2 linked regions of the Drosophila melanogaster genome follow. The protein of the gene in region 2 interacts with the protein of the main gene of each other region in a pairwise test. Each region holds a gene or a part of one and is shown on either strand. Other genes may lie near its edges.

What was found.
Region 1: the proteins of Mob4 (region 2) and rau interact in a two-hybrid assay, tested with the Drosophila melanogaster proteins (2 studies listed by BioGRID).

Annotation. Positions count from the first base shown.
Region 1 is NT_033779.5:5,868,892-5,885,944, forward strand, and holds the start of rau (rau), read right to left. Parts: upstream 10,608-17,053; 5' UTR 10,097-10,607; intron 1,355-10,096; exon of another isoform or gene 1,302-1,354; intron 1-1,301. Other genes in the region: CG44574 (uncharacterized protein), read left to right, coding at 14,891-14,930, 14,988-15,068, 15,124-15,428; Sfp26Ac (seminal fluid protein 26Ac), read right to left, coding at 15,490-15,551, 15,615-15,785, 15,839-15,860; CG43185 (uncharacterized protein), read left to right, coding at 16,282-16,312, 16,375-16,508.
Region 2 is NT_033778.4:6,682,133-6,698,519, forward strand, and holds Mob4 (MOB kinase activator 4), read right to left. Parts: upstream 14,530-16,387; 5' UTR 14,268-14,529; coding exon 14,208-14,267; intron 14,134-14,207; coding exon 13,760-14,133; intron 13,712-13,759; coding exon 13,462-13,711; 3' UTR 12,982-13,461; downstream 1-12,981. Other genes in the region: CG15909 (uncharacterized protein), read left to right, coding at 1,107-1,123, 1,184-2,225; Tdc2 (tyrosine decarboxylase 2), read right to left, coding at 2,840-3,029, 3,139-3,647, 4,528-4,654, 5,007-5,221, 5,276-5,710, 5,871-6,178, 6,241-6,370; Rpp25 (ribonuclease P/MRP subunit p25), read left to right, coding at 9,586-9,693, 9,750-9,931, 9,988-10,104, 10,161-10,374; CG3270 (uncharacterized protein), read left to right, coding at 11,308-11,520, 11,830-12,939; Rab2, read left to right, coding at 14,752-14,797, 15,284-15,443, 15,917-16,253, 16,314-16,387.

The sequences.
Region 1 (17,053 bases), on a different chromosome or scaffold from region 2:
GGGTGAGGGTGTGACTGTGGATGAGGATGTGAATGTGGCTGCATCATTCCGGCCACAACACCCAGAAAGTCCTACATTTCTTCCGCCACTCTTTCGCCACTAAGCGAAAAATTTAAGCAAAGTGATACATCTTACTTCTGGGTGAGTTGTATATTAGATGAGGTCGAAGATGGATCCTTTAACAACATGCGATCTAGCTGAGAGCTCCTGGATTTGTCAACATTAAAAGAGTAGTCAGAAGGACAAGTATTAATATCATGTTGTACCATGTGGTTAGGTTTTTTTTTTTTAGATTTTTAGCCAAACACCGACACACGCTGCCGTGAAAACAAACTAAGGTTCTGGTTGGACCGGGAAAATGGAGGCCGACACTCATTTCCTTTCCGTCCTACTCAATGTTTTTGGTAGATTCGGTGCGTGTGGAAAACAGGAAGTGTAAACATTAATTGTGCCACGTGAAGTACGGAAATTCAATTAGACGCCAATGGCGGGGAATATACATATTTAACTGTTAGTTCTCCCATTAGGGAATGCGGAACCACCTGCAATTTAGGCTATTAGAAAACTGAATGAGAGAAATGCTTTTCTAACTTCAAGACCCAATTGAATTCCAGTCGAATGTGTCGTTGGCTGCCATTTAGCCTCATTTACCACAAATTTCCCATTTGATTTTAGTGCAAGCAGCTCATCTTGTCAAATTATCTAATTAAAGTTAAAGGCATTCGGTTTTATGGCATGACCGAAAGATATCTTTAAAAGACAAATACCTCGAATGCCCTTGTCCCCTGTCCCCTGTCCACCGCATCTCACTGTCACTTTAGCTGGGCTCCCTTTTCGGGTTTTTTTTCTCTGGCCATTGGCATCGGGCACTATTTGCCGTCAAATTATTTGCTCAGGAATTCAAGACTATTAAAAGGAGGACAGCGCTTTCAACCGCTGTCGCATTACGCAAAACGAGTATACATAGCTGTGTTTTGAAAATACATTCGCAGGGGCAGAGGTTTGCATATAATTTTTGGACCGACCCGCGAACAAAACCAACAAAGAACCCGGCGCACACAAGGGAAAAAGCCTCGGCTGAAAGGCAAACAAGCCGCCAAAGGAGCCGGGCAAAACCCAAGTTAGGGCGAAATCTGGGGCAAGAAAAAAAAATGGGAATAGGGAATATGTGACTGGGGGGCTGGGGAAGAGGGAATCGGACTCGTCTGCGCCATCTCAGCTATTAATTTTCATTTGTCTTGTCATTTCAGGCATTCCGCAAGTGGCCTGTTGCTAAGCCAGCTAAGCACAGCTCAAGTTACCTTATAAATAGTTTTCCCGCCTTATAAAAAAATACACTGCCAGCTGCGCTTACCTGTAACGAAAAGGAAATTGGGAAAATACAGTCGGTTAGTGAATCCCTGGATAAGTTGAAAAAGTTTGTGCAATAAGTATAGGTCGGTGCAAAAACAAAAGACAGGAACTTTCGCAAGCGCACAGTATTTCCTAAATAAATATCAAATTACAAACTACACGGTGTTATATAAAATATGTTCTATTTCAAATGGGGAATGTAATGACTTGTAATTTAATGTTTAAAGTAGAATTTGGCTTAAGGTAAAAGGAAACGTTTTCGGTTTAGAATTCCTCGAGATTGTTGAATTCCTGACAGTCCCTTTTGAAAGCCAAGGGGTGGCAAGTTGCCGTGGCAAGTACTTAATGTGCGCCTTAAAGCTTAAGAACATTGCATTAATTTTACGAGTAAAATGAAATGTCTAGCGTACTGAACCTTAAGCTTTTAAATATTGTTGTGTTCGAGAGCATTTATTTCCCACACCATTAATCAATCGGACGGCTGTCCGCCATGCAAAGTGCAACCTGCAACTGTTTCCCTGGCCAGTTTCCCAGGGCCACGCGACAGCTGCCACTGGGTTTGCATTATGAAAAACCATATGGGAAAATCAGCAACAACAAAAAGAAAACAGCATGCAGCATGCAGGGAACGCCGCGGCGTTCTGAGCCACATCGGCAAAACAATCTCGCCACGCACATATGCTTTGGCCACGCCAACTCGCATCCATGAGATTCACTTGATACGGCGAATGGAAGCTGAGCCGGCAGCTGACTTGCAGTCCTTCGCTGCATCCAAATGCACATCCATATCCATAGATAGCGATGCGACGGCGCAGTGTGGGAATTTCGCTATGAGAAAATGAGACAGGTCCCAGCTGCCTTTGTTGAGCTGAGTTCTCCAGAGGTAGCAGGAATAGGAATAGCAGGTAGCTGTTGTGTGCATCTCCGTGTGCATGTGCATGTGCGTGTGCATGTGCACAACATGTGGAAAATGCGGCAGAGGGGAAATGTGGAAGTCTCGATGATGTTTTTCCCGTCATTCAAAAATCCGGTTCGGCGGCCACTTTGATTGTGGAGCCATTTGAATGAGTGCCACAGGCAAATGCCTATTTTATCGTTCCAGATTTCGGTTTTGTTTGGATCCGTATGCCGTTTCCGGTTCGAATGTGGACCAGCTCCATCACCGGGCAGCATGCCTTCCCTGGGATCCTTGGAATGGCCAAAGTTCGGAGGTCAGATGCTGCTAACGAGATTCGTTTAGTTCGCATTGTGCGACCTTTGTCTCAGGCCAACGCCCACAATTCGAAAAACAAACGAAGCCGAGCCGGAGGTGTGAAAAGAGGTGTGCTTATCTTTCTAGGTAAAGGGTCTTAGTTGTCAGAGCCTCAGGTTGATGCATCGCCCACGATAAGAGTGTGGGTCGATCGGGCCGACAGGTCGGGCCTATAAGGTCTGACTTCTTGAGCTGGCTGAACTGGCGCATTAGTCAAGATTCATAATGGTTTGTTTGCAGTGCCTGATTTCGAGGGATTGTGACCAATCATTTTCCCTTTCATGTAATTTCATTTCATTTCATTCCTTTCTTAGTTATCAATTAGTCGCTCTCACACTTGATTCACTTGGGGGCACTTCCTGTCGTGGCCACAAAAAGTAGTCCACGAATAGTTTTTTATACCCATTTTTCCACTGGCGAATCGGGTGAAATTTACGATCCGTTCAAAAACTGTTTGGTAAGCGATATATTGTCAACTTAACAAATTTGTCGGCATGAGTGGTCGAATTCCTTTGTATTCGAGTCTGTAGCGCAGACATTCCATTTATTGTGGGCCACGCCATACAGGAAGCTGATTGTGTCTGGTGCCCAGAAAATGTGTTTTGTGTAACTATTCTATTCATGGGGCCATAAATTACCAGAAGTCGGGAATTGCTCGAGGGCCGAACTAACCAAATAGTAAGTTTTCCAGTATTTTAATGAGCTCCGGTCATAAGCTGCGTTAGTAGACTTTTTGCCAGCTTTTCTGGGTAACTGCTAGCCAAAACTAAACTGGTTTTCTGTTTTCCGAATTCCCAAAAGGACCGAGCAACATTTTTGCCAGCCAAGTACTAATGAAATTACCCATGAAATTTGTTTGACGCAGTTCTTCTACTTGTGCTGAACAGAATCCGAGATGTGGCCAAATTAGGTCCAACTTAGCCAGTTAATGGATTCTGTTCGAGTTGTGCGACTACTCAAACTATATAAACATTTTTCCCATTTGTTCCCATGTTGTGGTATCTCTGTTGTCGATTATCATCGGCTTTTGTTCTCAGGTAAATGCCAATTTAATGCTACCCCAGCAACAAGTTGAAATTCGTTCCCTTGACATTGAAACCATAACAAGCTAATTATTCTTATAATTCAGGTTTTTCATATCACAACAGTCTAGGGAAATGTACGAAACGTTCACTTCTGTTACCACAAAAATATGGCAACGAATTGAAGTTGTATGATACCAAACTGATTTCATATGACATACCAAAAGCTTATAGTGGCAAAACGATCATAGAGATCATCTTGATGCGGTGTCAATAAGCACGATAAGGCACGCTACTAGCTCTAAAGTCTAGACCTATGACTAAGTAAACCTCTGACTAAGTTCGTCTGTCGGTGGGGAAAGGGGGAGTACTGAAGTGAACATCTCCATCCATCGGCTATTTGTCACGCTTTGACTTAGCCGCTGCAGCACGAGCCGCGCTCGACGACAGATCTTAGTCAGTTGGGCAGGTTGGAGCTTTTGCCGTCGGTCTTTGACTTGGCACTTCGCTGCTGTTAGTCGCATCCAGCGGCCAAGTTAGTACCAGAGGTGGAAGTCGAACTTGCAGCTGCTGGGACAAGTGGCTGAAGGTGATTGGCCTCGGCAATTTTGTCGCTATTACGCCTGGAAAATGACTTGGCATCGCTCGTATGCAGCAAGGTAAAAAAGTTGCCACGCCGGTATTTAGTGCAAGTATGTTGGCTTTCAGGCGGCGATGATGTATTAACCGTTAATGCGGCATGCCCCTGACATCTTCCTGGCCATGTCGGAAGCTATAGACGACTATATGTATGTAGGCAGTGGCACTTATGATATAAAACAGCGCGCCAATCCGGGGAAAACCACAATAAACAGCGTGGCGAGGAAATCTCGATTTGACATTCAATTAAACTCAATTGTTGTTCAATTAATTAATCAATTATGCATTTTTCATACCGCCGCATTAATGTGATTTATTTTCGCCGTAGAACAGAATTATTCGGCACTTGAATGAATATTGCAAGGCAATAAAAACGGAAATAAATGGTTTTCTCTTGATAATGAGAGGTAATTCGAGGACGATTCGCTGCAGATGCAAAATGAGTTTTAATAAAAGGATCGATTATTTAAGGCCTAGATGAATTTACCATTAAAGCGGCAAAAAAAGAGCATCGGATAGTCGGTGGCAGTCGGTTGGGCATATTGTTCAATTTAATTAAAATGTTCGAAATTATGCATTCTCCTACTGATCAACTGAATTAACCCCATATGCTGTTTTAAATAATTCACTGCATTTTTTCGTTTGCTCATTGAAAAGAAATAGCGATTCATAAATCTGTTAAAATCCTGTCATATTTTATGGACTTTCTCGCCCGTCAAACGCTCTGCAAACTGAAAACGCTTGCCGCCTCATAAATTTAAAATATACCAAAAAAAAAAGTAAATCGAGTGGGTAAACTCTAAAAAATATCATAAAGCTTTCAGCTCTCTGCGGAAATTATAAATTCAGAGCAAAAGCGCGTGGTTCTTTTTTTATTCCGCCTTGGCTGTTTTACACAATTACAAAAAGCCAGAGGTATTTTTTTTTTATTTGAATTTTTCCTGGAAGCCTGCCAGGTATTGTACACCAGTTTTTGCGGTTGTCAATAAATAATTCCAACATGGATTTCTACCGACAAAATGTTTTCGTGCCGCTTATTTAGATAAAAAGCGCGCTTTTCCAAATTGCATTCCAATTTCCATTCTAGACAAAAGCGCTTTTCGCAGTGGAAATCGTTGTTTGTGATCCAAGGCAAGGTCGTTGCATTGTCTTCGGTGGGATTTCAAACACAACCCCACACAAATTGCGCATTTGTTTCGGATAAATCAGCTAAAAATAATACACAAATTACTGTCCCACACTTGAATGCCTTCCCCCAGTCACAACAGGCCCAAACTAATCATTAAATAAATGCGGCTGGCCTTAAAAAACCACCACAGATGCATCTGCAGCTCGCCCACTTTAAAAGATACAAAAGAAACCGAAATTCCGTGAAGAACCATGCCTCGCCCTAATGAAGTTATGAGCTGGAAGACCAGAATATCGCTCAACCGGGGGCTGGAATACTTATTTTTGATGCCACTCTTTCTTGCATATTCCATAAATATGATGAAAGCTGGAGGAGATGGAGGAGGAGAAGGCTTCCACTTAAGCGCCGACAATTAATATTTTCCATATTTCTTCTGCGCTTCGCTCCCCTCGTTTTGTTTATTAGAGTGTCGATTAAGTTGCTTTAATATTAAGCAGCCCTCTATATTAAGAACCCTCCGAGATATATGGTTTATCTTACGGGGAAAGCGAATGCAGCAGGCCTTGTTCCTATTTCAGAGTTCAGACGATGCAAGATAAGCGCAATGAGTATATATACACTCATATGATTCACTTGCAATTGTGGAGCAGTAGCTGAGGTTCAAGGCACCAAACGGTTTCGTTTTGTATCAGCAAGTTAATATCTCAAAAGTGCCAGTGCGCAAGTGAAGCACAAATCAAAACGGCGCTGCTGCCAATCAATGAAAACTGTGAGCTGCCAAAAAATCGGGCCGAAAGGAGAGAGAGCGGGCAAAAACAAAAGGTTCAGCGGTGTTACCCAATCCGATTCTCACACAAATTTGCAAACGCACAATTAAGTCGCCTGGGAGGGAATCCGATGGAGCTTCCTGCAGCAGACCCTGCGGAGCGCATGATGTGCCAACAAAGACGTCAACTTGTCACCCGTCCAGTGGCCAAGTGGCCAAGTGTCCAGCTGGAGCGGCACAACGGCCTTTAGCTTGGTTAATTTATCATGGCCAGCGGAAGGGAATAAAGGAGATGTGCAAAGAGTGCAATTGTGTGAAGAATGTAGTTGTTTTTTTTTTTATATACGAGCGCTCTGGTTTTTGGGCCCTGGATTTCTTTTGGGCCAAGTGTTTGTATTTAGCCGCTGTGCCGCTGACTGATGTGCGGATATTAATAACGCTCAAATAGAGCTCCAAAGTGGGCAAGCTTTTTGGTCTTTTTTTGCAGTGGCTCAGCACAGAGTTTTTTTTTGTTTTTTTGTATAATCCTCACTTGCTTTAATCCAGCGAGTTTCCGGCCTTTAGCTCTTTTTGCCCCCGTCGAATGGGTGCTACACGCATATTGATTACCAGGTAGTCAAAACCAGCTGGGAATCGAGGGGTTACGAGCGTTTTAAAGGCGAGTAAAAGCTGCATTTGCAGGGTCAGTTAATGAATCCCCACAGCAGTGGTGAGTCAATCAACTGTTGGGACTCCCAACATTCCGCATTCCCACAGTGCATTAAGCCCGAGTCCGAGCCAGCAAATTCCTGTCCCAGGATAGCTGCTGGGAATCGGAGGCGCAGAACCATCCGGCCACTGCAAAGTCAACAGCAACAAAATCACTTGCGGTTTGGGCCAACATCCACAGCCACAAATGCGAACTGAAGTGGTAAGTTTGCTTTTCTTTTTAGGCGTGAGAATCGGTCGCCAATTCAGGTGGGCGGATTACAGAGGCACGTGTTGGTGGAAAGTCAGTGGCGAGAACGATTTCCCAGCCGATAAGATGGCCACTGTGAGATACATTTCGCAGCTAGATTTACGGCCTAATGAAAGTTTTACGAGGTTTTGCTCGGTTCATAGCGAAAGGTTACCCAGCTTTTGACCCTAATGGATCATCTGAACTGCTGGAAAAAGTGATAAAAGCGAGGTGAAGAAACTCAATTGGACAGAAGAAAGTTCCAGATGAACTTTTTCTGCTCGTAAAGCAAAGTATGGGGATCAGCGAAGACACCTGCGCTTATATAATGTAATAAAGGGATATTAATCTAGGACAATCTACTAAAATGTGAAAGGTATTTCCCAAGACAAGATGTTCCTATCATAAGAAGACTGATCATCAGTACAACTTAATCTCTAAGCTCTTTTCGCAGTAACCCATTTACAATGCAAATTTGCTTCTTATGACTAATACTACATAGTTTCGCTGAAAGCCAAATCAATACGGAATCACTTAACACACAAATTCCCCAATGCCTAATCGTTTCGAATTATACATTGTAGTGCTAGAGAAAACCAGATGCCATAAGGCGTTATAATTGTTTTACGCCACCATATCTCACAGGTTGCCGTGCGCAAACAAACAGTTAACAGGCTTTGTGTACCTTGGTTTTTTGTTAATTAATTGTTAACAAAACGAAGTGTCAACAAAAAAAAATATCAACCGAGAGCGGCTGAGAGAAAAACCACGAGTAAAAGCGCCAACTTCCAGTTTTTTGCTGACTTTGTGCCATCATTTATATTAAAGAAGTCGTATATTATTTTTTCATTTCGCTGCTGAACTTGTTTATTGAATTTACCATTTTGAAGCCGCTGACTCAGTACGATTTTCGCTGTAATTTAGCCGAGTTAGCGAGAAACGTTAAACGAGGCTGCAGTGCATAATATATAACCGAAAAAAACCCCCGATTCGGGCCAGCATTCATTTCAATTGAATTTTGAATATTTCGGAATGCTAAGCTCCAACATCAAATTGTGTTGCCAACGCTCGAATAAATTGTAAATCAATTTAAGAATCAACAAGAGAATGTACGACTTCGGGTGTGAAATAAAATAAAATAGCTTAGGAAAATTGCAGTAAAATAAATTGTTTTATTTTATAGCCGGAATAATTTAGAGTAGAACTTTTACATATATGTACGCAAAAATCCGGTTAGCGCACATTTATGTCGATTGACAAATGCTATTGTCTTTTTATTGCCAGTGCGGGTGTGTCTTTGGTTAGATGAAGAAACAATAGACTTGAATGTACATAACTGTATATGGAAGTCAAGCAACTTCCTCAAGCTATAAAGCCACGCATAAATTACCGAGGAAATTATACAAAATGGTTTGTTCAACCATTCACTGGAATGGAGCTCTTAAATACAAATATGATAGAAAATGGCTAAAAACTATAAAAGCGAATTGAGATGTTAGTGCCAAGATCTCCAGCGAAAGATAAACGATCCCTGATGCAGACCACCCTCGACTTCCTGCCATCGATTAATCAATAGAACTACTTCCTTTTAAAACGCCCCTCGCAAGTACTACGTGTGTGCAATGTGAAGACTAAATGAGGCGAATATCCTTTCATGGCTCACGTATCCAGCCCAATACAAGATACTTCTGTTAAGCACAGATTTGGTGGTACTACCTGTTCCGAAATCGAAGCAGAAGGCGCTAAACTGAAGGAAACCGCACTTGACAGTAGCACACGAGCAGGTAGGCCCAAAAAGGTAATCCCTCTCTCACGTAGTCTTCTGAAATTCAGGATGGGATCGCAGCACGTTGAGCCCTCTGGGGCGTATTGTACTCGTGCATTTCCTGATTTTTAATTAGCCAAATAGAACCTAACAAAGACAACAAGTTGGGCCAAACGGTCTGAGGCTACGTGCTTGGTATGTGAAATCTTTAGCCCCTCAGTGTCCACAGGAAAACAATGCTCCAGACCGAATACTCCTGTGTGCGAGAGGACAGGAAATTAATTCGATATCAATACTTTTCTGCGGTTGCGTTGAAAATTGCGAGAAAGTGATGGTAACCACCACCTCAGGCTAGCAATTTTATAATCAAAACCAACCGCTTTTGGACATCGGGATTTTCCCCACTCGTAATCATGGTTACACCGCCGTCTGGTGGACAATGCTAACTTATTATTGCAACTCCTCATTAGATGATATTATGTGGAATTGACATTAAGGAGTTTGACAATAAGCACAGCAAAGACAAATGAAATGATACACATGTGTATCCGATTGGGGGGCATTGTTAATCGAAAATCCCCAATGAGCATTGTTACCGAACTGAGTGATATCATTCATCTGAGCTTGAAACAACAGAGACGGATTTTCTCACAGAAATCTACAAGATATGCATCAAATCAAATGTTTGGTCGAGACCCAAAGTTTGTGTCATTCATAATCGGCCAACAAAGCAACTCGACTAATTAAGAGAGTCACTCGACCAAGAAATTTACATGAAATGTTTATGCATTTCCAAAATAGCTGGGAAGGTCTTATGTCCGCCTGTGTGGCCCTCTAATGGAAGTTTGAAATATTTGCATAAAAATTCAAAAAAATGCTGAGCAAATTGTCGAGTTGCAGATCCACGGATGTACACTTGTCGGAGGCCAAGAACCGGACAATGATGCTCAGCAATTCCGTATTTGCATTGTAATCCCCCTAGATGACCTCGGGAATGGAGGAAGTGACTGGCCAACAGCTTGGTTACCGTTGCGGGTTCAATCAACTCCTCTGGCCAGCGAAACTGTCTGGATCTAATCGCGCAATTCGATAATTGAGTGCAGGAGAGTGGGCTGTGAAAATTCTGGACTTTCGCCAAGGCGAGAAGAAACCCAATCGACCGAACTAGATCTCGTCTAGCAATCAAACTTTCTAGATGAAGAGCGAAAACTGGACCAGCGATCGGGCGCTTACCTTCTAGCGTATGATTTGTAGTATCCAAATGTGATTTGTGTGTAATCCCAAGACCTTAAGGCCCGAGACTTTGATGGATGGCGGTATAAGAAGTCCGGAGTGCGAAGACAAGACAAGGTCGCGTCGTTTTTCTTCGGCTGCCGCTTTTAGGGCCCTTTGGCTGCTTGGCATTAAGTTATCAAGCACTCTACGCCACTTCGCATTTCTTCGCGTATCCAAAGGTGCGTATGCGTACGTGCTCCCTGCTGGGGAAACAGGTGCACTCAGGAAGCAGCTGCACTGATTTTTATTTTAGCGTTGCACTTTGAGTTTCTATCCGAATTTGTTCACTTTTTGTACATATGTATATTCCTTTGGCTTTCGTACCAATTTTATTTTAGATCTGGACGCACATTCACTTTCGTTCGAATAGGCTCGCTACCGTTAGCCAGTTCACTAAGAATTGGAAATTTTCGAGCGGAGCTAATGTAGATTGAGTACCGCACTCGGCAGTGTTTACAGACGCACTGAAGCCGCACGGCTAGCGTCTGCGAGGTCTAACCCGCTGAGAGGAGTCGCATTCAGATACCTGTTTTGTATGTGTGTGTGAGCTGGCTCTCGCGCTCTCGCCTCTCTGCACTCAGAAAAAAACTATAGCTAGCTTGATCAGCGGAAAGCAACGCAGATACTTGCAGTTAGCAAGTTATTTAATAATTTGATAACTAATATTTAATTTTTTTAAGCTGACTATAAAATTCTCTCTCTTCTTATCTTCTACAGGGGACTTTAATTCAACTTGAAATGAGCCAAGCTGATCTGATACCATGTGAATAGTATGAATGTTAGGTGAATGGATTTTGGGAAAACGCAAATCGTTCATAATGGAGCCACTGGGGGTGTGGGTTGGCGCTTCGTGGGCGAGTGAGCGGGCGAACTAGTTCTGTCTGCGGCTCGCTCTTTTCGGAGAGAGGAAAACTGGTTTCCAATCAGACTTAGACTTTGCCGGCATGTGGGTTTCCTCATGGAAATCTGGGGATGGGGATTCGCGGTCGAGCGACGCCGGATGGGCTTGGGCAGAGCTACATAAATGACCAAAGTTGAAGGGCGAGGCACGGCTAGAGTTTACGGACTTGTAATAAATCAGGGAGTTTTCAAAGCAGAAGACTTTAGCTAGTAATCGTATGTATATATGTGTTCACGCTAGAACGGCATTAGTAGTTTATTTAGTTACTAAACAACAAGAAAATTCAAAAACTGTACTACCTTAACAGTTTCCACAACAATCAATATGAAGCTGATGCATTTTTAATAGGTAGACCTTAAGACTCCTTCTATAGTATTCGATTAACAGGATCGATTTTGTAACTTTAAGTCTGGCGAAACTAAATCCAGGAAATAAGCCCTGAACTTTGGCAGTATGTAAACTGAAAAGGTGAAAGAAAGTTCAACATTCAGGCGAGATATTCCATTCCGGCAAGTCGTAGATTGCTTCGGTTTGATGTTTTTTAGACCCCACAGAAACAACAAAGAAAAGCAAAAGTTTAAAAATTAATTATGACAAAGTCAAAAAGTCCAAAAATTATTAATGAAAGTGAAATTATCATCAGCGAAGCGAAAAACAAAAATAAATAACAGATTTTTTGTTGCTCGATAATTTGCGAATGAAAAGGAAGGAAAAAACCAACCAACTGATGCGCCAGTAAAATTCATTAGACTTTGATAGATGAACTTGATGAGTCGATGTCGCTGATGGACGACGGACTCGCAGAGTTGTGAAAATCTGAGCGAAAAATGCGGAACCAATTTTATTTGTTTGCTTTTTGAGAGTAATTTAATTAGTTGGAGCACGGCAAGTTATGTTTGCATGTGACCCGGGGCGGTCAATTAAGAATTCATGAATCAGGCCCTAATTAGAGGTCGCCGTTTAACAAATTGATACTGGTTTTGTATTCACATTGAAGCCGAAAGATCTGTTCGAAGGTGTTAATAAAGCCCAGTCAAATTGCTTGGCTCCTTAGAACATTCTCCGTTCTGACTGAAGGGTATCAAAGTTTGTCCTCGGGGCACAAAAAGTTACATCTTGTAGCTAAGTGGCATTCCTCTGACCAACGGTTAAATATTTGTGCAGCACTGTGCGGACATGAAAATGGTATCATAGCACGCTTTTCACACAGCCGTGTGAAAAGTACACACCAGCCCAGTTTGAGGGAGGGCAGCTCAGACTCGGATGCAGGTCCCCTGCTCTCCTCCAGTCCACCAGACTCCAGATGAAGATGAAGTCGCAGCGAAGGTATGCTCCAGTTACAGAAGTAACAGTGTTTGTTCAGCTCAAATACAGTAGAGCCTACGAAACTGTTCATGACGGCCCATCGAAAAAGCTTAAAGTAAAATATTTGATGCCCTTGCCGTCGAACTTGTAATTATATGCCACGGAATTGAAAACAAAAGCATATCATATTTAATATGAAACAATGTTTTGCAACAATCTTCCAAACACAAACAGAAATCTTTCGAGTTCTGCCCTGGTAATTCGGCCTGTACGCGCATGGAGTTGCAATTGCGGACTCAGCGCGGCCGGCTGCAAGTTAATGGCTAATGGTCAGCAGCTGCCGCAGCCAAAACAGACGTGCTCCAATTGTAAACAAAAATGTTGGAGCTCGGATCGCCCAAACACACTCGCCTCGAGCTGCACTTGTGTTGGTTTGTATCCGTATCTGTATCTGCATCTGCAACTGTATCTGCATCTGCATCAGCATCTGCTCCGGATGGCAGCGAAGTCTGTCAAGTGGGTTGCGATTCCGACTTCCCCCTCGGTGCAAAAAGCACCGACTGACTTTTTGCGTGCTGAGCACATTTCCTATAAATAGTAGCTGTAAACCATAAATAAAAAACGAAAAGAGGCAGAGAAGCGCAAGGCGAGGGCTACTCTATTCATGCCATCTATCAAGTTGCAGGCACCCGAGATGAAGTTTGCGCTCAAATGATTTGTTTAGACGGCCTGCCACTAAGTGGTGGTAGCCTGTTAAGGCCGCTTTGGTTGTACCGAAATGATTGCACAGCGAATTAGTTGGCATCGGAGTAAAGAGCTATCCGTTTAAGGCCTAAACATCACTTACCCCAAACGAGATCGTCTCAATTGGTGGATATAAATCAAGTTCGGTTAGCAAAGCAGCTGATATTGGCTGGCCGTTGGCTTCAGTATCCATGTCATAAACAAGGACTTCCGATTGCGGCGTCTGCTCAAGTGGCAAGTGCCACGAGCGGCTTAGCGGAGGTCCTCATTAAAGCCGAAACCGAATAAAACACCAAACTTTCAGCAGCTGAGGGGCGACAGCTTGCAGACCCAAACAGGTGGCATCGGCAGTTGGGTCAGAGACAAGTCCTGGAGTGCGGGTCGAGGGACGGAAGGGCGGGAGGACTTCCGCCGATGTCCTGGCCATTTCGTAGCCAGGTGGCCTCGCCTTCGCCAGGTCAAGCGAAAAGGCGTCAAGGATATCAAGGATTCATAACTCATTTACCGACCTCTTGATGAAACCACTTCGATATCAAGTTCTGCTGGGCGAAGCAGCTAAACGGAGAATTACTTGCAGTGGCTTGAATTCATAATGATAATAATTAAGTTACAGAAGTTTATTTTACCAACGTTAAATTTTATATATATATTATAGGTAAAATATTGCATACACCTTTTAGTTCAAACGCGCTTTAAGTGGACTTGTTTATTTTCATTTTAGTTGCTTGCTTTGTGCATTCAGATTCACATTTTAAATGATATATTATTGCTGGATGATTTATTATGCGAAACATTTTCTGTTTATGGACATAAAATATTTGTATTTTTAGTCAGAAATTTTCGGTGTGGGCCAAGAACGCTTTTAATAATGCGCTTCAAACATCCAAAGGCAACGAATATTCAGCGGTGTATTTTCACGTTTAACTAATGTGGTTTTAACAATCACCTTAAATAGCACATTAGCTTTCGATTTCTATCGCATTCGAGTCGCTTACACAAGCAGGGAGTTGAAAATCCGAGTGAAATATAAATAATACCTAATTAATTGTCAATTAATCTAGTTTTTATTCTATTTCAAACTTGAAAAGTAGACTTAACTTATATATGATTACAACTAATGTGCAGATATATTTAAAAAAAACTGCTGAATTCCCCTTGCCCATCGAAAGATTCATTTACACAAAAAAAACATTTCCATTCGAAACGCATAATATTTACAAATCAATCGAGGCATAAAACCGTCTATACTACATGGGAAAGTCAGTGCCCATGAATTCTACTAAGAAAATATTTCGTTGGAGCCCAGAACTTATGGGTATAGGTTTCTTTAATAAACTTGGAAATGCAACGCACAGCGCTCAGTAAACTCCGCAACTCCACACGGAATATGGAAAGCAGTAAAAGCCATACAATCATTGGAAAAGTTATTTGTTTTGACGGAGAGTAGGAGCGTGGGCAATATGGCGAGATCCCTTGCCACATTCATATGTAAATGCATCAGGTTGTAGAAAGCTTAGGTGAAGGGAAAAACTATAACTTTTCAAATCAAATTATTACTCATAAAACGATAGGTCGCGTTGTTAAGTGACTTGTTCTTCGAGGTTTTTATGGTTCCACAATTGAGTGAATCTAAGATGGAAAACGTTACTCTTACAAGGGCTTGTCTAATTTAAATGAAAGTACATTTAAGTTGCTTGTTTCTGTGTAGTAGTTAACTACTGTAAAGAAATAGATTTAGAAATAATATTCATTGCAAATAGCAAACCAAAGCGACTAGTCGCATTTTGATCTAGTACATCGAAATGAATGCATACTATAAATGTATTTTACTTATTCTTTGTGGTAAAATAAGACATATTTAACTAAAAATTAATAATCACTATTTAACCATTCCTTTAGCAACGTTTTATGTCCATTTAGTTAACAGCTTAGACAAGCACGACATCAATGCAATTTTAACGAAGTTTAAAAATCTCGCTGGTAACTATTTATATTTTAAAAGTTATAAAATTACTAAACGATCTGTCTGTTGAAGTAAAATCCGCAAGCATGCACTTGCAGGATAGCAAATCGGATATAAACATCACCTCCAAAGAATTTTGTATGAAAAATGACGAAAGGACGAACCGCTTCAAAAGGATTATTTTTCTGCAGAAAGAGGTTATCCTAAAATTGCAATCCCAATTGTTGGAACAAACTCTGAATTGCAGCAACCTGAGGCAAAGAGTTCGCAGGCTCATTGATAGTTACACAAACCTAAAGTCCGAGCTTGAAGAACTAAGGTCGAAAAGTGGCACAACTGACGGCCCCAAGAATGAGAGCACTATAAAACATATATAGTAGATTTGTTGGATTCAAACAATATTAAATATTAATTGATGAAATGAACCATGATTTTATTTTACATCTTGGCGCACTTTTCTTTGTCCTTAGGGCACTTTCCTTTAACAATTTCGGTGAATGCTGGGAAAGTGTATAAATATTTATACTGCTGCAGGCGAAATTACATTAATATATTCCACTTACGTTTCAGCTTTTTTTGCTCTCGACGGCATGAAATTCTTTCAACTTGGCATCGATTCAGAGCAGTAAACACACATGAGCCATCAGCAACCTTTCCACAATGGATATTACTTTTCCAGTCACAGGTAAGGCATTCGTCTGCAATGGTTTTCGCCAATACCAGAGATACTATAACTACGGGTCTATTATTAAATTTTTAATCTGAATCCAAAAGGTTGAGGTCCTACCAAATATGAGATGGATCTTCATGCCGTCACTTTAGTTTCGAAACTACTTTTTCGAAATACTCAAAAGAACACAATAAACTTTAATTCGATTACAGAACTATGACTGAAACATATCATATTTGCAACAGTTAGCACATGTATTAAAAACAAAATTCAATTTGCTAATGTTATACCATTGTATCTTGGTACTCTTTATACTTTGCGCTAAGTATCTACAGGCTGTGTAGTTCAACAAGAAACCCTTTTCTTTAAAAATGTGCAATTGATAACTTAAGTCCCCTTTTTTACTCATAAAAATCAATATATTTTTTATGACCCTAGCGACTGTGATGTGTTGTAAATTGATTTAATGGCCAAATGCTCACTTTGAAGCTCGAGAGTGCGTTATAAACTGACATCGAATGAAGCCGGGCCCATTTACGCAAGTTGACTGTACAAACGCCATGCATTTGAGACAACTCCTTACCGAAATGGGTAAGCAATCGATGTACAACAATACTACATTTATTTTATATTAGCTGTTCTTAATTTTGAAGTTATTATCTTGACCATATTGACCATTCCTGGCTATACCATTCACACCTTGGCAGAGAAGAAAATCAGCCAATATCCTTGGATCCCGAAGACGTCAACGCATATTACACCTTATAAGATATCTGGGGATATATGAAATATGAAATGTGTTATTATGTATGAATAAATTTCGACGAATTTGTCTGCCCAACAATATATTCTAAATAAATGCATATTTTAAAAGATACTAAGAGCGCATGAAATAAAAGTTTACTTCAATAAGCTTGATATTTTTTTAAAAAAACCAATGTGGTTGTGAATGTGCAGAATATACCTGGTATTTTTAGATTATTTTTTTATAAGCACATTGGACTCTCAATTTATTTATGTATATTTCCAACCTAATATTCCGTGCAATAAGTAATTATCCAAACCAACTTGGATATCTCTACAACTTACTAATTATTGACTTCCATCAAGCATCTTTTAATGAATGTAAACCCTTCCTTAGTTAATTTATCCGAAGCCATCAGAATGATCAAACCTTTTTAGTTTTCAAACATTTTTTTAAAAATGCACTTGCAACTGCATCAGTATTGATTATGTCCTATCAGAGAAATGCTAAACAGGCCTGAAAGAATTGACCATATCAGTGAGCATGGCGAGCAATAAATCTAATTGATTTTGATCGCCGTTTGATGG
Region 2 (16,387 bases):
GATGACGTCGTGCTTCTAAATATAAGTTCGTATTCAGTTTACGCGGTCACACATCGAAATGCTCGATGGCCATTGCCATCATCCATCGAATCCATCCGCCTTCTGATGCTGCTTCTGCTCCAACCCGGCTGCGTGTTTGGATGTGTGTTGGGAGCGCGGCTAACGCTTTTGTTGTCTAACCATTAATTATGGCAGTTGGCACTGCCAAACACCGATCAAAATTCCCATGAGGACGCGATACAGTCGAGCATCGCTAACTTCGATTGTGTGATATTTGGTAAAGACTTTAGATTTTGGATGTTATTTCAATGCTATTTATATTTCAAATATTTTATTTCATATTTCAATATTTACTGACAGTGTGAACAAGTTTTAAAGAGCGCCCAATCTTGGGAATCACCAATGTTTTCTAAATGAGTTCAGCTACATTTGCTCAAAGGAATCCAGCATCTACAAAAGGGGATTTCTGTTGGTTGAGGTGAAAAAGTGTGATTAGGCTTGAGATATGGAAGATTGATGTTCAGACTCCTCTGTCTGTCTGTTCGAGAGCTGCCTGTAGATTTTTCCAAAAATTTGCATTATATATGTGTTTTTTATTTGATGGTGCGCGTGCTTGACAATAGCTGACGGATACTGCATATGAAGATTTCGTGCTCCGAGGCTCTTCTATTTTCGTTTATTTTTGGCAATTTCGCTTGTTTTGGATTTTGCCAGATCATACCTTAGGCATTTCATTCATTCTGGTGGGGCATACTAATTTATGGGTACGGTATTTATTTATTGGTTTATTCGATTTGGGGGTGTCAAAGATTTTGACAGACGATACTTTGAATTTCAATATATTGGCGCCAGTAGATTATGGCTCAGGTTATTTGGCGATTTAATTAAATGAATCCGAACTTGTTTCCAAGTTAATATTTCGTGATTTTGCGTAATAGATTCGAGCTATTAAGGTTACGATTTTATTGACAAAAGGCTGGAGAATCTTTGAAAGATGACCTTTTGCCCACCAGTTCTCTTACATCTCTATAGCCTAACCCTATTTTTCAAAACGTAACCATAAACGATATATTTTATTAACAATTATTCATTTACTCGCAGTTGCCATGCGATTTGTTCTATGGTGAATTTTTACACATTTCTACTATTCCTTAAACATCCCTTAACCAATCAATCTGCACAGGTATGTCTTCGTGCTCAGCTCCATGAATGTATTTCAAAAGTCCAACGCCAAGTCAAGACTCACAGCTAATTTGACAGACGACCCATTGCATGCCTATAATGAGGTCGTGCAGAATTTGATTAAGAACTGGGAGTCGCCAGTTGTCTATCTGAAAAAACGAGGTTTCCTGCCCAGAAACTACGAGGATGCGTCAAGAATCAAGCACAGCCTGGATGCCCTGATGCAACGAATAAAAAGGGCTAAACGGGATCACACAAAGGAGGTCACTTTCAATGTAAGACCCAAAGAAATGGCAAAAGCTTACCCAAGGAATCAACGTGGCTTTCAGCTATCAACGGGCACAATGCTCTCTAGTTTGGAGCAGTTGAAAGTCATCGAAGGCCAGGCAACGAAGGCCAAGACCACGGCCAAGTCAAGTGAGCAGGAGCAAGAGCTGCTGGCAATGAAGCGGCGATTGGAAGAGTTGCAGCAGGTAGCAGGTACCGGTCAGGATCAGCCAGGATACCGTAGGCAGATTAAAGTAAATCCAATAGACAAGGATCCAGGGAAGTCAGCACAAAGTTATGATGAAATATTGCAGCGAATGATTGAAAAGACGAGCCCACACTACTCACAGCAATCCAATTCGCATTTAGAAACCCATCCAAATCAACTAGCGCCAGCTCCTCCAGGAGCAACCCAAAAACTTGATAATGTGCAGATGGCTCCCAAAGAAGACAAGCCGCTGACTTTAGAACATATCGAGTTGCATGCGTATACAGCGCAAAGTGCTCCCCGAAATTTATTGCATAAATCCGTAGTTGATCTGCCCATACTTAGAGCAGCGGAGACCCAGAGGAGCAAGACCGCAACGGAGGCATCTAACGTGGAATCGAAGTTGCGCGCGCCCACCTATCTGAATTGGGACATGAAAAACGGTCGACTGGATCATTACTCAAGCGTGGACAAGGAGGCCTATTTGAACCAGTTGGTGAGAGTGTTCGGGCGCAATTTGGATTTCAAGGAACCCACTCAAAAAGGAAAAGAGCCGACAGTTTCTTAGAACCGCGGTTCTCCTTCCCAAAAACATGCACTCATCTTCATAAAACGTTTTAAAATATATGAGTTCTGTTCAATGAGTCATAATCCATTTGGAATCCATGCCCGTGCACAGTAAATACATCTATACGTTTCCATTTCCGATTTCATGCCGATCGACAATGATGGTACGTCATATCAATGGCATCACCATGATTATTTGGATTTCTTCTGTTTACCTTGCGCAAGAAAGCAAAGAAAAGCAGGATATTTCTGTTTACCATTTGTTAGTACTTAAGCATATTTTTGCTTTCAATGTTGATTAAACAGAGATCAATACAAATTTTGCTAATGGGTTGACGACATGCAGTGTTCAACCGATCACTTCAGCCTTGTATGACTATATTATATTATTATGAAATAATATTTATTGCAATTCATAAACAAGAAAGATGTTCGTTTGATATTTTCGCCACGGCACTCATAGTATTCTATAAAGTTTCAATATTGGAATTCAGAAAAAGCCTTTTACTGTGGCATGCCACCGCATTGTAGATTGGTCTAGAATTCAACTAGGCGCCTGACCTAAGGAAGCGCTAATACTGTATTATAGTTGTTCCATAAACGGAGTGAATATTATTAGTTGAGGTTGTCCCGCGTGGACGATGCCTTGCGCACCGCCATGGGCGATCGTCGTGGCGATCGCTGTTCCATCTGCTGCTGCTGGACGTTCACGTAGTCCAACTCGTTTTCCGGAGAGGGTGACGAGCCGGCTCCGGAGTTTCGTCGCGACGACGATGGTCGTACGTTGGTGTCCAGGTGTCGGAAACTGAAAGAAAAGGATGTGGCGGACACAAATTATTCGTTAAGCTCGGTGGTTTGTCTCTTCACTGTTTGTCTTTTAAAATACTTTCCAAGTACTTTCGAACAAGACTCACCGCAACGAGACGTTACTGCCCTTTTCCTCGTTGTTGCTGTTGAAGAGGAATGCCAGCGGCCAGGATATCCACGAGTTGTGGTCCACCGAACTCTGGGTCCGGATAATGGGGGCACTGCCGCGGCTCACAACGGGCGAGGGCAGCTCCATTGAGAGCTTGGGAGTGCCGGCCTTGTTGATCGCCGGGTTGTAGATCTTCGGATCGCTGACCATGCGCACGAAGAATGAGCGCTTCTGGGCCAGCGTGTCCTGCTTCTTGCGGTTCATGATCTCGGACAGCTCATCGTGCTGCTCCTTCTCCAGCAACTCGTTGGCAAAGTCCACGATGATGTCCCAGGCGTAGTCAATGTCCTCAGCGGTCGCGTTTTGGGCCACGGCGCAGAACCTGATGATGTAGCGATCGCCCACGCTGGCCGGAACCATGTGCAGCTTGCCGGACTCGTTGATTATGCTCAGCAGCTTCTCATTCAGCTTGTCGGAACCCTTCAGCCGAAAGCAGACCAGGCCCAGCTAATGGAATCAAATACTATTTATTTTGGTTCCACAAATCTGCGGCGAATGACTAAAACCAAACTAAAAATTAAAAATCAAAACATGAAGGTATTTGAAACTTCTAAAGTAATAGCGTGATCCGAAGTCTCTATCGTGTATGCTTATAAGCGATTGTCTCCATCGTTTATGCTTATAAGCGATTTAAATCATAAGTATATATTTAATATTTTCAGTTATCTGGCGAAAGTTTAGCAAGATACAAAGAAATCCTAACAATGTGCTAGCTTGATTTATTTTTACTCCCGAAATATGTAATTAGTTGGAAAACTACAACGTGACTATCTGCAGATCCGCTACCGAATCGAATCGTATCGGCCAATTGACTTGGCCACGCTTACGCTCAACGAGTTTGAACGTTCATGTGTCAGTCGCTGACTCGATGAATCACTTGTGGCTGTCTCTAAATGATTTTCAATAGCAATTATGCCAAAACACTTCCATTGTCGGGTCGAAAAAGAAATCCATTTTTGCGCCCGTTTCTTTGCGGAATTTGGCGTGTAGTTGCGCACGTTTGCTTAGTTTGCTTCGTTTGCAAGGCGGTGTGAACAAGTTCACGTCTTCGTGGTCAGAGCTTGGGCTCCGGACACTTGCGTTACCCACGAATCAATCCATTTCCCAACTATTTTTGGACCTTACATGGGCGCTCGGCCCTTGGTCCGCATAATGGACCCGCACTCCCACCCGGTTGCCCGTGGCAAATGAAAACCCCACACATTTCGTGGGGTGTACAAAAGAGCTTTGAACTCTGAGCATGATTAATTACCGAAATAAACCGAATCGATTGAAAATAAAACTTAAAACACATATAGAAAACGAAACGAAAGCAAATATGTCTCACCTTGACTTGGTTACAGATCTCGAAGCGCTTATCTTTGAGCACGAGCTCTTCGAACCGCTTGGCCAGCTTGATATGGTGACGTATATAATGCTGCAGCCCGGAAATCCCATAGGATCGCAGCACGAACCTGAAATCATACAAGTCTTTCTACAGGCAAACTCAGAGTGGAATTGGGCAAATAATATTCTTTTGGGTGGTCACAATTAGCAATAAACGTATGTTTGGCGTTGTCATATTTCGATGTGGACTCATCTCATCTGCGGGATAGATTCGGCACACACGGAGCACCGAAACCCTTGCTTTAACAACTAATCGCAAGCAAATACACGAGGGCATAATTTGAGTAAACAAGCCAGCATACTTAACGCCACTCCACTCCAATCCAAAAACAATTCAATTGTCGACAACAGTCAACAGACCCATTCGCACTTGGTTGGCTATCGAGGGCTTTCGGACCCCATATGGCACATGCTACATACCACAGCTTCAGCGAACGAAAACGCCGACTGAGTGGAACTCCCCAATGACGATAGTCGATGGCCGCATCCGAGTAGCCGTGCTTCAGGTACAGCGGATCCACCACCAGGGCTGAAGTCAGCCGGATGCGGTCCCGCACCCACAGCGTCGAGCAATCGAAGTTCGTCAGCAGCCATTTGTTGGGATTGGTGTTGAACGAGTCGGCGTACTCGATGCCCTGTGAATGAAATCCAGTCAGATTGGCCATGCGTGCCGTGGGAATACCACTCACCTTCAGGAGCGGCTTCAGCTCGGGGCAGATGAAGCTGTTGCCCGCGTAGGCGGCATCCACGTGCAGCCAAACGCCCGGGAATCGCTGCAACTGCTTGCCGATCTCTGGCAGATTGTCGAACGCACACGAGCCCGTGGTACCCAGAGTGGTGGAGACGAAGAAGGGCACCAGACCCTGCAGTTCGTCCTCCTCCATTGCCTCGTAGATCGTCTGGCCGCGCAGACTGGCGTCGTCGTCGGGCTCCAGAATGCGCAGCTTCACGAAACAGATCATCGCCGCTTTCTCCACGCAGCTGTGCGCCTCCTTGGAGCAGTAGGCCATAAGCTTGGACAGCAGGTGACCCTCCTCCACAAACGGGTGCTGGGCCTTGAGCCTCTTGAGCGCCTGTGCCCTGGCAGCAAGCATCGTGACCAGTACGCACTCCGATGCGGAAGTCTGGTGGCCAAAATGAGCCATTGTTAGACACGGACGAGTTAATCATGTTATATTATATGTAGATATTTAAAAACTACAAACTAAGTCGGCCTTCTTCACTCTTATAATCTATGTACCGGACCAAAGAAAGTTCCGTCGTCCTATAAAAGATTTATGTTACCTGGATGACTCCCCCTCCGGTGCTGCCCTCCTTGAGGGCCAGAAAGTGGTCCGGCAGACCGATGGCCTTGCCAAGCCAGTCGAGCACTATGGTCTCCAGCTCGGTGCACGCGGGACTGGCGGCCCAGGAGAAGCCGATGCACCCGATCCCGTCGCCCAACATGTCGCCCAGGATAGAGGGGAACGAGTTGCCCGCCGGAAAATAGGCGTGGAAGCGAGGATGCTGCCAATGCGTCACGCCGGGCATGATCTTGTCCTCCACGTCCCTCATGATCTGGTCCCAGTCCTCCGGCTCCTGCGGTGCCTCAGCTGTTCGAGAGGGGTGGTGAGGGAGAAACTGACCAGGTTCTGCGGTCATTTTTGTGGCTTACGTGGCAACAGGTGTCTCAAATATCCCGGCTCCACGCTGGGCGTGACCCGTCGCTCGTTCAGCGTTTCCAGATAGTTGCAGATGTACTCCACCATTTCCATGCCACGTTTTCGAAATTCGGTGCTGTCCATTTTCGGTAGGTTTTCCAAATCGCCTTTCTGAGTGTTTTCCTATTTTTCCGTTTTCTTTTACTCCCACGGTGAGCTTTATTATGAAAAGTTTAAAAATTGTACAATGAATCAGCGTAGTGGGGCAGTACGTGCAATTATATTCAATTTTTATTGAATGAACAAATTTTCCAAAATTTGGGGAGTCGGTTATTTCCAGATTTCCGGATATTATTCGTATTATTTTGTGTATTTATATAAAAATGTTTTTTTTTATTCTTGGACAAAGTTTTAAAAGAAAATTAGAGCAAAACAGGAAACTAGCTAAATAAATAGTTTTGAAAAAACTGTTTTTTACCAAGCTAGAACATTTTATAATTAGGAACAACGAAACTATTATTTTCAATTAACTTGCCGACTGTTCCTACTATATAAATAATAATAATTGTCGTCTGATTTTAGGCAAATTAAAATTGAAATAATATATTACCCCACAAAAGTGGCGTGTACCGATAAGGGATCAAAAGCATCGAAGGTACATTTTTCTTTAATTTTTATCTCTAATTATTCCTATGGTAGTTACGAGTATATAATATATACGTTCTGACTTTTTTGTATAAAAAAAAAGTTTTACATTTTGCAAGCATTTTGGTTAGAAAAAAACATGTTTGTCCGCTCATTGATAAAGTTTAAATTAATATCCTTAAGTTCTGTCAAAAAAAAAAGTATTAAGCGACTACGCGAATACGAATTTTATAACTGAAGCTGTTTTTGCTTGTATCATATTTGTATTATTGTTAAATTAACCATCTGAATAAAAAAGGTGATGTCCACACAGTTAATATAACATCTTAAGATAACACATTTGTTATTAAATTTGTTATTAAAGTTGTGTTTCCTTGATCCTTGAATTGGTTTTCCTTTTCTCGAGTAGACCGAGTAATTTTTTAAAACAGAAACTGGAGTAACAAGAATGATTTTAAAAATTTTGAGAACAAAGAAAATCTTTTCCCAGGCAGGTTTTCGTATAGAGTCCACTTTCTTCAAAAATTCATTACAATTTGTTGGCAAACAAGAATTTATTCCGTTTTCATTGCTATGTTATTTATAGGATCTGATTTATTTCGGCTGGAGCTTTATTTGTGGCTTTTTTGAAACCGCTGATTCAATTCTGATTTGTAAACTTTACTATAAATTGGCGCTATTTTAGATTTATTTTTCTCGATATAGTGCGTTGTTCCCTAATTTTGCTTGCTTTAATCACATGTATTTAGCATAAACATCAATTTTGTTTGTAATTAAACTGCGGTTCCTCAGGCACGTTTTACGGCTTTGTAAAGTATACAATTCCCGCATGGTTTGACCATTATCCATTATCGAATCGACTTCCGGATCCGGGGCACTTACTTGTGCTGAGCAAATTCCGATGGGCGAATGGGAATTTTGTTTCGAACTCGAGACCACGAACCGTTGGCCCCGACTGGCAAAACCAAACTGATCCTTGCTCTGCGGTCTGGCCAAAAGCTAAGCTCGGTCGTAGCTGCCGTGGCTGCTGCTTCTCCTTCGGCTGCCCTGGCATGTCTAATGAATGCATACTTCAGTGGGCCGGACCAGGGATGAGGGCTGAGGGTGCTGGTGGTGCTGGTTGGTGCGATTGAAATGGCAAATAAATGGAATTCTTGCGACGCTTCATTCATAGCTGTGAGCTGTGGGAGTGGGGCTCGAAATTCGCCTGCGTTGTGCGTGAAGATATGCAGGGAATAGAATGGGCGAGCTAGAAATTAAATAACCACCGTTGCCCATGTGAGTGGTTGCACGGTGCGTATGCTTGATGCTGCGTTTAGCTGTGGAAAATTGAGTTTCGAATTGTTAAATGATTAGCAAACCTAATTTGCTCTTAAAGTGCAACTCAATTTCGCCATGGATGAGTTAATTAAAAGAACGTGTTGTCATAAACACACAACAAATTACACTGACAGGACAGCTTCCCACGTCCCGACTTCCCACTTGTTCTTGGCCGGGGTGCGAATCGTTTTATTAATAACTTCCGCGCCAAATTGAATTATTGTTCGGAACGTACTTGATGGGGATGGTGGCGATGCCAAATGATTATGACGATGGAAATGACGACAACGATGGCCCAGGCGGAGCAGAGAGGCGCAGGCAGGAGCGGAGTCGAAGGAATTTCAACGCATTCCTCTCGGAAAATTCCAGCCCGTTTTCCTTTCCCAACCCGGGCTCCTTGGATCCGGCTGCACTGGGCCATAGAATTGTCTGGGACACGTGGCCCCATGTACTTGCCATCATCATCCCGCACAGCCATACGAATCCTGTTCGTTTTTTTGTCGTTGTTGGATGAAAGTTCATTAATAAACTTTCATTGCTGCTGTCGAATTCAGCTGCAGCAACCATCTCCGGGCACTGAAATGTTGTTCGGCCTTAGCTTCAACAAGTGGCATCATGCTCCTGTGGTTATCATCCCCCGGTGACCTCCTTTCCCTTTGGCCACATCGCCATCCCCATCCCCATCCCAGAAGGGCTTTATTTAATGGGAAAACGCTGCGAAAACGCTCATGCATCCGCGCTCATTTAATTGCTGCAGAAATGGTTTTTTATTGACTTTTACTTGAACTCCTCCTCAAAATGAATTATATCAATGTGCAGAGCATCATGGTTTTGTCCCTGGGTTTGCCTTACTTCTGGGGAAAACTGATGTTTTTCGTTTCAATTATTCTCCTGATTACTAATTTCGGAAAATAAGTTTTCTTCAATCAAGTTTTTCAACCATATACGAACCATCTGCATTTGAAACAAATATGCGATATTGTTTTGTAAATTTAAAATTTTTCATGTTAGAACAGTCCTAAAATAAAGTGTTTAAGCTTAAATTCCTAATTGAACCCTTATCGTTTTCAAAGATTTTCAAAACTTTTTTCGAGCAACATGACGTACGTGTAGGGTGTAGGTGAATTGCAGAATGGTTCTTCCGTTCTGTCCCTGCTCTCTCGGCTCATAAACCAAGCAATTATTCAATTTCCACGGACTGCGATGGTCGCAATAGCTGCTTCGGACAGTTTACGACGAGTGGTTGGTTGTTAAGTTGGTTCTCGAGATTCTGGACCTCCGGGCTCTTTTTTCCGCCATTATAGGTTCAAGGTTGTTGCTGAAGCGCTTCGTCGAGATTATATTTCTGAAAGAGTGAAACAATCTTGTTTGCAGATTTTACGGAAGGCCTCAAAATGATGCACTACCGCAAGGCCGAGAATGTGGAGAAGGAGCTGAGCAAGAGCGATCTGCCATTCGAGGACTGCATGCCAAAGTCCCAAAAGGATTTTTTGTGGATGCATGTGAGTAGCACTAACAATGTTTCAAATCCTTGCCTGAAAGCATCCATTTTGCGAAGGTAAAAGGCGGTACCAAAGTGAGCAATGTGATTGAGTTTGCTCAGGAGGCGCTGAACAAGGGCGAGCACAGATGCGTGGTGTGGAGCGGATCCGGCGGAGGAGTGGTGAAGACCATATCCTGTGCCGAGGTCCTCAAGCGGAGCCACCCCCTCTACCAGGTGACGCGCATGGCCTACACCAGGTGAGTCGGCAATAAGCAGCCAATGTGCAATAACTTTTATAATGTACTACGCAAAGTGTGGAGGAGCACTGGAAGCCGCAAATGGAAGGCCTGGAGGAGATTATAGTCACACGCCAAATACCCACCCTGCACATCCTCATGAGTCTGGACGAGCTGCCGGATACTATAGATGGGTAAGCTAGAACGGAATATCAAATGCATCAGTAGCGTTAAAGTATATTCCGATTAGCTTACAAAAGCCAAATACGTCCACTGATTTTTGGGATGGCGGAGGAGCACAGCAACAGCCACATCCACGTTCCCAGCCCCGCCATCAGCAGCAGCCACATAAACCAGGGGCTGGGCGTGGGGGTCGGCCGAACAAACGGACCAGACCCGGACGCAATAAACCAGGCCAACAACCCGAAAAACCTGCCGCTGAAGAGAATTTACCCGCCAGTTAGAGTCAAGGTTGAGATAAGCGGACCATGCGAAGATTTTCTTATTTGCCCTTTGTAAGGATGTACAAATAAAGCCCAATTTATCACAAAAGACCAGCGGTATTAACGCAATTGCGGGCAATAAAAGATTAGCTCTCCGAAGATAAGCGCGGTCTTTGTATAATTCTTCTTTATAGAACTCTTATAGAACTCTTCTCAAACTTACAGTAGATGCTCTTTAATTCGAATGTGAAGTAATCTAAATTAGAAAGTTTAATAAGCAATTATAAAGTACAAGTAGAAGAAGAGAAATGTAAATATATATCGGTAATTTCGTTAATTTATTTTTGCAAAGATTTCGTTATAGCTTAGTATGTCAATGGCCCCAAGTTGTTTAAAAAGGAATGAAGCGAATATGCTGCCTTATGCTAAGATAATATTATACAGTTTCTATACCTAGGACAATAAACAATACTTTGTGGGTTCCCTTATCAGTTGAAATTCGAAATCGGTGAGTTGGTGTTAGTTGTTTGTCAAATACAAATTCAATACCCAGAAATTAAAATATAGCTGATAATGTGTGCTAAAGCATCTATTAAATGTGGACAGTAAGTACCAATGCAGAACAAACCGTTTATTTGATATTTTAGGTCAGAAAAATTAGATTGTTCTTATTCACAGCGATTGAACCAAATTTTAATTATTTATCAAGAACTACAAAATAAAAATTGTGTCGAATGTGATGTTTAAATCCTTTACTCATGGGATATGATTGAAAAAGGATGTTTCCAGCCCAAATTAGCAGATCAGTCCGCCGAAGGAACTTTTACTGTAATTCCGCATTCATTGCTGTGCACACAAAGCACTTAGGAAAAGCTGCACAAATCTAATCTGGCGGATTTCAATGGCGTTATCATCCCACGAATGTGCAGGTGCCGGTGCTGGTTAGTGTGAAAAATGCTGGGCCTGCGACGAGTTCTGCGATTGGGTGCACTGCGTCAGCTTCGCTCGTTAAGTGGCAAGCCGCAAGGCGATGTCCTTCCCGGGAGCTGCGGAGTCCTGATAATAGGTGGCGGTGGCATGGGCGCCTCCTCCGCTTTCTGGCTGAAGTCCCGGGCCCTGCAGCTGGGCCGCAAGCTCAATGTGCTGGTGGTGGAGCGCGATGCTGGTGTAAGTACAAGGTGGCCTAAAATACGACACAGAGTTATTCAAAAAGTATCAACAATATCTTACAATTTTTGTAGGAACACCTTCAATTTTAAGGTATAGGGATCCAAAATTTACCCCAATAATGTTTGAACCTTTGGTTTCAAAACGGTTAAAAATAATTATGTAGTTGCTTTGCTCTGATCATATATCCAATATCCAATATCTACCAATTTAATACTTTTCCTATTGTATTAAAAATTATTATTTATTCGGTATCTAACTGAAACTTATTCGCTATTGAATAACAACAATTTTTATACAATTTTCCAGTACACCAGCGCATCTACAGTGCTTTCTGTAGGCGGAGTGCGGCAGCAGTTCTCTTTGGCCGAGAACATAGAGATGTCGCTCTTCGGATACAACTTCGTGGTTAACGGCAGGGAGCATCTGGGCGACGTGGATCTGTGCTACCAGCCGAACGGCTACCTGATCCTTGCCTCCGAGAAGGGAGCCCACATCCTAGCAAAGAACTCAAAGCTACAGAACGAGCTGGGGGCCCGAAATGAGCTGCTAGGCCCGGAGGCACTGCGTCAGCGGTTTCCGTGGTTGTCCACAGAGGGCGTGGAGCTGGGATGCCACGGGATTGACAAGGAGGGATGGTTTGATCCGTGGGCCCTGCTCATGGGCTACAAGAAGAAGGCCCGTGCATTGGGGGCGAATTTCGCGAACGGTTCGGTAGTGGGTTTTGAGTGGAACGATTCGGGCGGCCTTTCTGGAGCTGTGGTCGACGCCGGAGATGTGTTGCAGCGCACGGTGAAGTTTGACACGTGCGTTCTGGCAGCGGGAGCGTACTCGGGTCAGGTGGCGCGTCTGGCAGGGATTGGTGATAAGGAAGCAAAGGAGGCTTCCCTGAGTGTAGCCCTGCCGGTGGAGCCTCGCAAGCGATACGTCTATGTGGTTAGCACTCAGGGTAAGAATTGTCCTGGGCTAGCCACACCTCTGACCGTTGATCCCGATGGCACCTACTTCAGGCGGGACGGTCTTTGCGGCAACTTCCTGTGCGGCCGCAGTCCAAACGAAGACGAGGAGCCGGAGTGCGAAACGCTGGACGTGGACCACGGGTACTTTGAAACGGATGTCTGGCCCACACTGGCGAACCGAGTTCCTGCTTTTGAGTCTGTGAAGATACAGAGCAGCTGGGCGGGCTTCTATGACCACAACACATTTGACGCAAACGGCGTCATCGGCAGGCATCCTCACTACAGCAATCTCTTCATTGCCGCAGGCTTCAGTGGGCACGGCATTCAGCAGACTCCCGCCGTGGGTCGAGCCATTTCCGAACTAATCTTGGACGGCAAGTTTACCACACTGGATCTGTCGCGCCTCGGCTTCGAACGCCTTGTAAACCAACAGCCTATGCACGAAGTGAATATCGTTTGACAAATTTATCACAGGAGGATCGTACTTGCCCTTGGTGTGTTTATGTATGTACTTCTTTTATTGCAATTTCTGTTGTGTATATAGTAATTTTGTATAGTAAAGTTCACGTTTTAGTCACGTACAGCTGTGTTGGTGTTTTGGCTGCCAGTAGTCAAGGGAATTTAGTTTAGTTTACGGGGATTTGACGTGGAATCAGCCACGAGAAGGTCGTGTGCCTACATATAATTTATTAAAATAAGGAGTTAAACATAATCGTAATATAACTTGCGAAATAATTGCTGACTTAGGATCAGATGGGGCGAGCGGGTTTGAGGGGGTCTGCCCTTGTTACTTAGTTATCGTTATGTAGCTCTATGTGTATCTGACATCTAAACTACATACAAGATCTGCATTAGAGTCGGGTCCGCGTGGAATCGTTTCCCTGTCAGGGTGAGCCAACCCAACTTGCAAGCTATTGGTAAATATAAATAGATGTATGTTGAATGAGTGTTTCATGCGAGTCTGACTAATCTGGGCGGGCTCCTAAGCCTCGCTTTCGCCAGGGGCCGCGTTTTCACCCACGTTGATGGGCACGATCAGATTCTCCTTCGACATCAGATTATATTTTGTGACGAAATGCGTGAAACGGTGGCACAGATACGTCTCGGCCTCGAATTCGTCGAAAATGCGACGATGGTGAAAGTAGGCGTGCGAGAAGATGCGATACACCCGCCGACATACGGAGCCCAGCTTGGTTACCGACGACTCCTTGATGGACACCCTGGGAGAGACACTTTGCTTATTATGTGGCTAGTTCAACCATGTCGCTAAGCCTGCATACCTGCTAGGGAAGTACTTGTTGCTGTTTAGCAGACAGGCGGCACCGTCCAGCGTGTGGCGTGTGTAGTCAATGGCCGGACATTCCTTGGGCGTCTTGTGCGCGGCGCACAGGAATATCCACTGGTCAGTGGCTGTCATCTGGGTGCACGTCGACGGCGAGCACTCCTTCTGCAGCCGCACTGCCAGGCCGTTCAGCTCCATGCAGAACTGGCGCAGGTGCTCGTACTTCCACACGCCCTCATCCTGGGCTTCGGGCATGGTCAGTATGAGTTCCACGTTGCTCGGGTCGCGCTTAATCAGCTGCTGTATGTACTGCTGCACCGCCAGCGTGCTGTCCATCTCCTCCAGGGGCTCGTCGGGCCAGCGACAGAAGTCCTGAAAGGCGAAACGGAAAACGGGTCAGACGGGCCGGGCCGGGATCGTTGTTCGGACGCCATGTCATCGCTCACCTTGGATTTTGTGCCTGGCCGGTTCCTACGCAATATGGTCGAGCCGTCAGCCATCTTCATGTTTCACCCGCTCGAAGACGCGATGATCCACAACGTCTGTGCCTACGCCTTGATGAGAAAATCACTGGCAGAAACTGAATGCTAGCCTGGTCCCTGCCCCGCGGGAGTCTCCGGATGTGGGATCCCTGCACCGTAGTATGCTGAGTGTATTCTACAGGAGCTGGCACATCGCTTGACAATTAATTGGCGTTTATCCTCCAAAACACTTTGCTTTGTGCGAGAAAATTTCTGACAAATTCTACATACATACATATACCTATCGATTGGCCAGCGGCAGTGCGCATCGTTATCGATAGGGCGATTGCAGCCTTGCGGTATTTCGGTATTTCCGCCAGCCCTGGCCACAAAGTGGCCACACTGTCGCTAGCCAGTCATCATAAATACGAACAGATTGGAAAACGTACAAGAATTGCGTATTATCTGTGGCATTACGAGATCGTACTTTCTAAAAACTAGCTTACCGTAACCCCCGTCAGCTTAAAACATGTCCTACGCGTACTTGTTCAAATACATCATTATCGGAGACACAGGTGAGTGCAAGCTGCGACTTCCTTTGAAACGGAATGGCCAGTGAAAAGTTGGCCATTGTCAGGGAAACAATCTGTAATTGCAAACAACACAACAAAACAAAGGGCATCGCAGGCGTAGGGGTCGTACCCGAAAATCAAAAAATGGGGGTTTCAGGTGGTCTCAAGTGAAAAATTGATACCGTGAGATCAAAATTGCGTCGGCAGGAAAATATTCCTGGAGTCGGTGGGCCGAAGGAAAAATCAATAATACCATAACAACGCATACAGGCGTTTGCTGCTCTCAGAGTTAGTGGTGCGCGGGGAGCAGCCCACACATAAACCCTGCTGCTGACTCACCCAACCACCCCCAGTAATTGAGGGATTCCGCCCCAAAGAGCCACGGGCTTATCAGCACTCTGCTTTTCGGGATGTCCAACAGCTGTTGGCATTTTCCAGCCTGTCCCACCTTTTCCCCGCTCGCCCACTAACCCTTTTCCGTTTCCGCAGGCGTGGGCAAGTCCTGTCTGCTGCTCCAGTTCACGGACAAGCGATTCCAGCCGGTGCACGACCTGACCATTGGCGTGGAGTTCGGAGCACGCATGATCACCATCGACGGCAAGCAGATCAAGCTTCAAATCTGGGACACGGCTGGGCAGGAGGCTTTCAGGTACCCACTTCTGTTCATTTAGTGTTAATACTTAAGAAGGGATAAGTGAAAGCTCAGATTACTTCCAAAATTGAACTGAATAAATTTTTGCAAATTTCGTATCCAAAACCCCAAGTCCAAGGCGGATAATAATTCGGCTCGTTTTTTATATTAAATAAAATAATTTGAATAAAATTCTTACTTAATGATCCAAAATAATAATAATATATATATATAGAGCCTTTAGTAAAAAGGCTTAATAATTTGTATTCAAAAAATTTTATTTGCTTCATTTCGGCACATTGTTGATAGATGTTTATTTAAAAAAGTTTTAATTCTATCATTTTTAATTTTTTGTGATATAAATTTTTTATACTTTACTTAAAATTAAATAGAAGTCGTCAGACAGAAATTTAATGGGTTACTAATAATTAAATAATATAAGCACTGTCATTTATATAACTGTATTGTGACGCAAAATATTTCTTGAATAGATCTATCACACGCTCTTATTACCGCGGAGCTGCTGGCGCCTTGCTGGTGTACGACATCACGCGACGGGAGACCTTCAACCACCTGACCACCTGGCTGGAGGATGCGCGTCAGCACTCGAACTCGAACATGGTCATTATGCTGATAGGCAACAAGAGCGATTTGGATTCGCGGCGTGAGGTGAAGAAAGAGGAGGGCGAGGCCTTCGCCCGCGAGCACGGACTGGTCTTCATGGAGACTTCTGCGCGCACAGCTGCCAACGTAGAGGAGGCGTTCATAAATACGGCCAAAGAGATTTACGAGAAGATCCAGGAAGGTGTCTTCGACATCAACAATGAGGTAAGAAGGATACATTTAACTTAGAAACTTCTTGCCACTACATTATTATCTCGTTACTAGGCAAACGGCATTAAGATCGGCCAACAGCACTCCCCCACAAACCCGTCGCTCCCAGGAGCCGGAGGAGCAGCTGG